2 linked regions of the Ovis aries genome follow. The protein of the gene in region 1 purifies or fractionates together with the protein of each later gene. This does not show direct contact. Links are inferred from orthologs where the notes say so. Each region holds a gene or a part of one and is shown in the gene's direction. Other genes may lie near its edges.

Region 1 (3,911 bases):
TTTGCATCAGGTGGCCAAAATACTGGAGCTTCAGTTATCAGTCCTTCCTGTGACCATTTGGTTGATTCCTTGTAGGATTGACTGGTTTGATCTCCTTATTGTCTAAGGGACTCTTAAGAGACTTCTCCAGCACAATTCAAAAGCATCTAAGCGTATACTGTACTTTTATCCTTATAAATCACCTCATTCCAGAACACCTCCTTTGGGGATAAACGGTTTTGGTGAAGCTGGATAAGGGGAGCCCAATGCAAAGACTATCTGACTCCTCCAGTAAGTTTAAGAGTCTAACATCCACCAGACAACACCATGGTTCTGTGATAGACCAGTTGATCGTGTAAGGGAGGGTATCTGAATTAAAATTTGTATTAGAGGGTTCTTTAGGGGCTATTTATTGTCTCTCATCTCTTACTCAACTATCCTGTATGATGACAGGGAGGCCGGTGACTTAAATGCAGCGTCTCTGGACCAAAAGGAGCCCCCACCGTGCCCTGATATAGATAATACCTTAACGTTTCAGACAGTGAGCCTGTTGCTAGGCCTGGAATGAAGTGGACTTTGCAGTCTCTTGCAGTGAGGGAGAGGAGAAGGCAATGGTACCCCATTCCAGTATTCTAGCCTGGAAAATCCCATGGACGGAGGAGCCTGGTAGGCTGCAGTCCATAACGTCACTAAGAGTCGGACACGACTGAGCGACTTCACTTTCACTTTTCACTTTCATGCATTGGAGAAGGAAACGGCAACCCACTCCAGTGTTCTTGCCTGGAGAATCCCAGAGCCTGGTGGGCTGTTGTCTATGGGGTCGCACAGAGTCGGACACGACTGAAGCGACTTACCCGCAGCAGCAGCAGCAGCAGAGGGTAGAGTAAGCCATGGAACATAAGTCATGTTAAGAAAAATTGTTTATTATTGCTCGCCACTCATGGCAAGATACTTTCTGAAACAAACGAAACAAGACAAAAAGAACTCAGGAGGTTGAGTTAGCAAGGTGCCCCCAGAGCAGCAGACAGAAGTACAATCTCCACCTCCCAGACAATAGCTCCCAGGTTTCGCCTCGAGATTTCAAGGAGCAGTCGAACCAAGCGTCCACTTCCAGGATGAAGAGAGGGCATCGGTTTCTAAAGTATCAAAACCTAGAGCAGCGACGGTTCGCGACATCTAGACTGACCGCATTCGCTGCCTAAAGCCGTCCTCAGGAGACTTGCACCTGGCCCGCCAGCACGCGGAAGCATCATCGCTGGGCGCTGCACCAAAGGGCAGCCAATCAGTCACTGCCTTCGTCCAGATTCCTCCGCCGGAGGCCGCGCCGCAGCCGCAGGTGGCCCGGCGAGCGCGTCCACCCAGCGCCGCCAATCGCGACCCCCGCCGCCCTTCCCGTGATGCCCCGCGGCTGACCTGCGACCTCGCGGCTCGCCTTTCCCTGAGGCCGGTTTTTCTCCCCGCCCCCCTCCCCTCCCCTCCGGCGAGCTTGCAAGGGCTCTAGCGGCCGCGGGGCGTGCCGCCGGGCGCAGCTCCTCCCTGAGCGACTGCAGGCCTCCCGGCAGGCGCCTTCCCTTAGCCTCTCCTCCTCGCGGCGGGGCCCAGCGGGCGGGTAGCCGCGACCGCGTCCGGGAAGCACTACCCGTCGGTGAGTGGGCCGGGCGCGAACTCCGCGGGGCGGAGAAGCGGGCGGGCGCCAGCGGCGGCGCGGGGCGGGGCGGCGGGAGGAGCGGGAAGGGGGTGGGGCGTCGGGGCCTCGCTTCCTCCCTCAGCGCCATTTTGTGGCAGCGAGACCCGCAAATAAAGGGGAGCGCCGGGGTTGCGGCGCGGAGGAGGAGCGCGGGGGCCGGCGGCGGCGGCGCGGTCGGGCGGCCTGGGCGGCGAGAGGACAGCGCGGGGTCGGCCTATGTGACTGGGCGGGCGCCGGCGCGGCCTCCGTTTGGAGAGGTAGGTGCGGGCCGCCGCCGGCTGCAGCGGAGGCGAGGACCTCCGAGTCCCCAGGCGGCTGAGGTGCGGCCGCCCGGCCCCGGAAGGGGCCAACTGAGCGCAGGAGGCGGACTCGGGGTTCCCGGGCCCCCCGGCCTCCCGTTAGCCCCGCCGTCTGCCCGCTGGCAGGGACGACACTTCCGCCGTCTCGAGGCCATTTTACCTCGGTTCTCAGGGAGCCGGGGGCGAGGTGGGCGCTCCCGCGGGGCCGGCAACGCCGGGAGGCCGTCCCCTCGGAGCGCGCGTCCCGTCACCCCCTCGGCGTCGCGGGCTCCCCCACCTCCCTCGGCAGGATCGTGAGGACCGGCGGCACCGACGAGCCGAGGGGAGGAAAGCCGCGTCCGTGAAGCACATTTCACGTCGCGCAGTAGCTTCCTACTGCAGCTGCGTTGTCTTGTAGGCTTCCATTTTTAAATGAGTGCATGCCTTCTAACTAAAATAAATACTGACTGAATTCAAGGTTTTCGTGAAATTTTAAAATCTCGCCTTGGATCTCTCTAAACCGCATTTCTCTAGTCAGTGGGGAACACGTAGTGGAAAAATGTCCACGTTTGTTTTGATGAAGTCAGGTTGGATATTTGATCCCAAAGGACTAGGTTAAAATCCGTAATAACCGTGTTCATAAGGGAAGCAATGATTCTTTTGCCGAGATTAGAGAAAGGTAGAAAAATATTTCCATGAGCATGTTATGGTCCTGAGTTCATATAGTTTTCTACTTAAGAATTTGGTTCCATCACTAAGGAGGATAAGTGGAAGTCACAGGTCTGTCACCACAAGTTTCTTCAAAAAGAAAAGTATTGTGAAAATCTTTGCACGATGCCTGTTACACATTTACATATGTCATTTATTTATTTATTTTTTATATATGTCATTTAGTATCATCTGATTAGGCAAGTTGGGGAAAGAAAATGCGGCGTGTGATAAAGATGAGGTTAAATTTCAATGATTTGTTTCGCTGTATTCCTACAGTTCTTTCATATCTTACATTATCTTCAGTAGTTAGCTATAGCTAAGTGATCAGTATTTTCACTTCCCAGTAGCAGAACTTAGGCAAACTACCTAAATTTCTAAGTCCCAACTGACAAAAGTAATGATGATCAAGTGTATCCCAGGCACAGCTAGTTTTTTTACTTAACTCATCTAACTTATAGAACTTCACCGGTTTGAATTTTGAGTATTTGTCAGAAATGAGTTGGTATACAGAAAATTCATAGCCTTGTGGCATGGAGAGGAGAGTTGTAATAATTATATTTGTCCAGTCCGTTACAGCACTCAGAGTCCCTTACGTTCATCTAAGTATGTATATATGTAATACACAGTTCCCCTGGAAATATTGTTTATTTTAGAGTCTCGATCATTTTCATACAATAGAACATTATCTTGCTGTTGAAAAAGATTTTTCTTAAAAATTTTCTGTGGGATCCTTTAGCAAAACAAGACCTAAACAGTATTTGGTTTTATTTTTGTTTTTATTAATTATCTCCCATTATTCTGCCTCTAAAAGTCCTGTCTGACTCTTCTGCTACCCGGTGGGCTGTAACCCACCAGGCTTCTCTGTCCATGGAGTTTCCCAAGCAAGAATACTGGAGTGGCTTACCATTTCCTTCTCCAGGGAATCTTCCTGACCCAGGGCTTGAACCCGTGTCTCCAGCTTTGCAGGTAGATGAGCCACCTGGGGCTTAAATATATTCTAGTACTAAGCTTACTAGAACAAAACTTCTCAATATTCCTCTAACACTATATCCCATTACATATAAAGGTGGTGCATCAGGCTAGAACTCCATGCTATAAAGAAACGGTCCTAAGTCTTGAAAATGTAGTTGGTGGAATTTAATTTTTTCTAAGTGCTCTTATGCTAATATTAGTATTTTATTTGAAATATATTTGTTTGTAGAGCATCTTTATGGTACTTAAAGCACTGAGATTTGTAGCATTTGGTGAGGCAGGCA
Region 2 (3,811 bases), on another chromosome or scaffold:
CGCGATATTGGTAGACAGTTGGAGCTTGGGGAGAGAGGAGTAGGGAGAAGGGCTTTGTAAGGACTTAATCTTTGTGAGTCTCTGCAGTGGGCTTTATCCCCATTTTCCAGTTGTGGGCTTTGGGATTTCATCTAATTTCTTTCGTGGTTAAAATACACGGCTGGAACCTGGTCCATAGGCACTGTTGTTCCCACTGTATTGCAGCCCTGGACGTGATTACATGGCGGTTGGAGATAATAGAGTAGAGAGAGACCCGAGGCAAATCTTAACCCTGACCCGCAACTCTCGGCTCACCCATTTCCAGCAGTCCTTACCTCATTGATAAGCCTGTCTCTGATCTTCATTTATGATAATATGTCTCTTTTCTACCATAATTTTTTTTTCTTCTTCCTGTAGACATGCGTCGGGATGTCCAGGAAATTTTTCGCATGACCCCCCATGAGAAGCAGGTCATGATGTTCAGTGCTACCTTGAGCAAAGAGATTCGTCCAGTCTGCCGCAAGTTCATGCAAGACGTAAATACCCTTCTACCTTCTCTCCCTCCACTCCCCGCCCGCTGCCTTCTCCCCCTCCGCGCCCTCTTCCTCCAGACTCCCTTGTCCTTCAAGCGCCAAGAAGGGGGCACGCGCCCATTTGAAAGTGATGACTCCTTGAAGAGACACACAGAGGCAGAGACAGTTAGTGTTAGGGTCTGCGCGGCGCCAGGGAAACTCCGGAAGACTTGGTCGGGTTAACGTGAGAGCGGGTAGTGTTCGACTTTTTTTTTTCATCAAAGCATTTTTGAACCTCTTCTCCCTTTTGGGGGAGGGCAGGATTTTCTGCCCTACCACCCACCCATCGTCTTCTACATACCCCCTACAGCCACGCACCCTCCAGGTGGCGTCAAGCATACAGCCGGAGCCTTCTGCTCCCCAAAGTCATAACCTCCCGGTGGCAGGAGAGCAAGAGAGGGACAGACAGATGGCAGGGCATGTCCAAAAGAAGAGCAAACAGCACACACGAATCCGCTCCCTCCCCACCTCCAGGGGTGGGGGCCTTTGGCACCTCAATCCCCGAGTCCATGCTCCTTCCTACCCGTACCTCCTCGCACCCGTCGGAACCTCGGTTGATGTGAACCAGCAGCAGAGAAGCACCGTGGCGCGGCGGGGGAATGCGGACGCACCCGGCGGTGGATGGCGGCAGCGGAGGCCGCGGGGAACCTGACCAGGAAGCTGAGGACCAAACCAGCCTCTTTTTCTGTTCCCGGTTTTTTTCCTGAACCCAAGGCGTGCCGTGCTCCCTGTTTCTTTCCGTTTGTGTTGGTGGGGAGGGGTGTTCTGAGTAGGGTGGTAGATTTTTATTTTTTCTTCTTTTTAACTTTTTTAATACTCAGAGGGATATGGAAAAAGTAAAGTGAAGCGCTCCACTTGGGTGTAACCAGGTGGTGGTAGGGTCTGGGCTAGGCGGGCCCTTGTGTAAGCAGTGGAGTGTGTTCTTTCCCTCCCTCCCTGCTGTGCTCCTTCCCATGGACCATAACTCTTACCTTTAGCTGTATTTGGGGTTCAAGTTAGATTGGAAGGAAGCCATGGAACTTCTCTTTGGAAATCCTTCCTTTGCTAGTCTGCATTCTGAAGTTCAGCTTCTGGTTTTCACTTATGACACACTTACCCTTTCCCCAAATCTTGTACCCTGGGGTTTTACGTTAACCATGGCTTCCTGGTGGCTCAGATGGTAAAGAATCCACCTGCAATGCGGGAGACCTGGGTTGGGAAGATCCCCTGAAGAAGGGAAAAGTTATCCACTCCAGTATTCTTGCCTGGAGAATCCTCATGGACAGAGGAGCTTAGTGGACTTCAGTCCATGGTGTCACAAAGAGTCGGACACGACTGAGTGACTAAACACAGCACACAAGGGAAATTGGGCTTTAGAGTTGACTCTTGTGTCAATTACCACTTTTTTTTTTTTTTTTGGTGAATGCTATCTACCTTCCCTTCAAGGGTTGTGTGTGTTTGTTTTGTTTTTAAAGATGACTGAGTAACTCTGCTGCTCTGAATTTGCTTCTTACCACCACTCATTGTACCTTCCTCGTAACACTATAGATGGTTTGATTTTTCGTTCAGAGACCAATCTCTCTCAAACTGTTTCCTTGTGGTCCGAGAGCAAGTTGCTACTCAATCTTTGCCTCTTTTCATGGCATTTTGACCTTAAGTCCATTGAAGTATTCTGATCTTCCACCTTCCTAATGGAGATATGGGAAGACATCTACCTACCTTATGGAGATATGATTCTCCTAGTTGAGAGAATATGCAAATGGAGCTCTGCCCTGTATTAAACCAGCTCTAATGGAGTTATTCTGACCTCGAGTCACTGTTGCCATGATTTCCCAGGTGTTTGCTTCATGTTCTCGCTTTGAGAACCACTTCCCTTTGTTTTCTTTCCTCCACCACCTCCGTTTGAGGTAATGGCATCTTGCCATTTGGTGGTTGGACTCTGCCCTTTCCTCCCTGCAGAGTTCCTTTCCTATAACAGTTTTCAGTTGGGAAATCTTAAAACTCAACTGATAGGAAGGAAATCAGATCTAATGTCCAAAAGACCACATTAAAATGTGGGTATTTTTGGGGGTGGGGCTGGGTTTTCAATCTTCTCTCTTCTCCCCATCCCCCCATGGGGTGTATTGGAGATCAACTTCCTCCACCCCCCCAGGTTTAACCCCCCCACTCTGCCCTCCTCCCGTTCCCCACCCCTTCCCTCCCCCCTCCCCCCCAGCCAATGGAGATCTTCGTGGATGATGAGACGAAGCTGACGCTGCATGGATTGCAGCAGTACTACGTGAAACTGAAGGACAACGAGAAGAACCGGAAGCTCTTTGACCTTCTGGATGTCCTTGAATTCAACCAGGTTAGTTGTCCAGGGTCCAGTAGGGAGAATGAGTACATCTCCAACTGTTGGCAGAAACCTTTTTATTGAGGAAGCCACGTATGCCATGTGAAAGAGAATAGTGGAAAAAGTCTTTTAAATGAGAGACTTAGGGGCTGAGCGTGAGCGCAATGGGAACTGCTTTTCTGTTCCATGCCTGATACAGAAAGTAAACCTCAAATTATAAAATCTTGAGTCTTAAAGTTAATGAGAGTCCCACAATAATTAGACAGGTTCTTAAATTTGTGTTTTGCACTGCTCACCAGGGAGAAGTGTTTCATTAGTGTGATTTGTTTGCACTAAAAATCATTTTCTATAAGCTCTTACTATGTTTGATGTTTTGGTGAGTGGGAATAATGGTCATGTCTTTCCAGACTTACGTCAGGTTTTTACCGTTCTCATGTGGTGGCTTCATTCTTGTCTCCTAATGTATCTGGTAGTTTTGGTTACTGTTTTCCATATCCTCTGCAGCATGTTTGTCTGCTCAGGAAAAGTCAGAGCCAAGCGGGAAAGACTTAGTATTTAGAGCAGAAGAGGAACTATGTGATGGGGACTAAGGAGTTCTTTTAGAAGAGTGTAATTACTGAGAACTCCTGCTCGTAATTTTTCTCACACACACCCACATGGACGCACATCCCTCCAATCTCATACACACCACGCACGCACACAGGTGGTGATATTTGTGAAGTCTGTGCAGCGTTGCATTGCCCTGGCCCAGCTCCTGGTGGAGCAGAACTTCCCAGCCATTGCTATCCACCGTGGGATGCCCCAGGAGGAGAGGTGAGTCAGAGATGGGCAAGATGTTTTGTGTCCTTGTGAGCAAAAGGGACCATTGAGAGAAGAGAATCTCAACACTTTCTGCTTTCCTTTCTCATAAAGGCTTTCTCGGTATCAGCAATTTAAAGATTTTCAACGA

What was found.
Region 2: the proteins of WTAP (region 1) and DDX39B purify together in Homo sapiens (affinity purification with mass spectrometry; 3 studies listed by BioGRID and IntAct, with this or other methods). This does not show direct contact. The link is inferred for Ovis aries from reciprocal best matches to the Homo sapiens genes WTAP and DDX39B.

The regions. Positions count from the first base shown.
Region 1 is NC_056061.1:83,743,732-83,747,642, forward strand, and holds the start of WTAP (pre-mRNA-splicing regulator WTAP), read left to right. Parts: upstream 1-1,280; 5' UTR 1,281-1,624; intron 1,625-1,749; exon of another isoform or gene 1,750-1,923; intron 1,924-3,911. UniProt on the Homo sapiens protein: Associated component of the WMM complex, a complex that mediates N6-methyladenosine (m6A) methylation of RNAs, a modification that plays a role in the efficiency of mRNA splicing and RNA processing.
Region 2 is NC_056073.1:26,836,115-26,839,925, forward strand, and holds part of DDX39B (spliceosome RNA helicase DDX39B), read left to right. Parts: intron 1-396; coding exon 397-515; intron 516-2,745; coding exon 2,746-2,877; intron 2,878-3,565; coding exon 3,566-3,675; intron 3,676-3,774; coding exon 3,775-3,811. UniProt on the Homo sapiens protein: Involved in nuclear export of spliced and unspliced mRNA. Component of the TREX complex which is thought to couple mRNA transcription, processing and nuclear export, and specifically associates with spliced mRNA and not with unspliced pre-mRNA.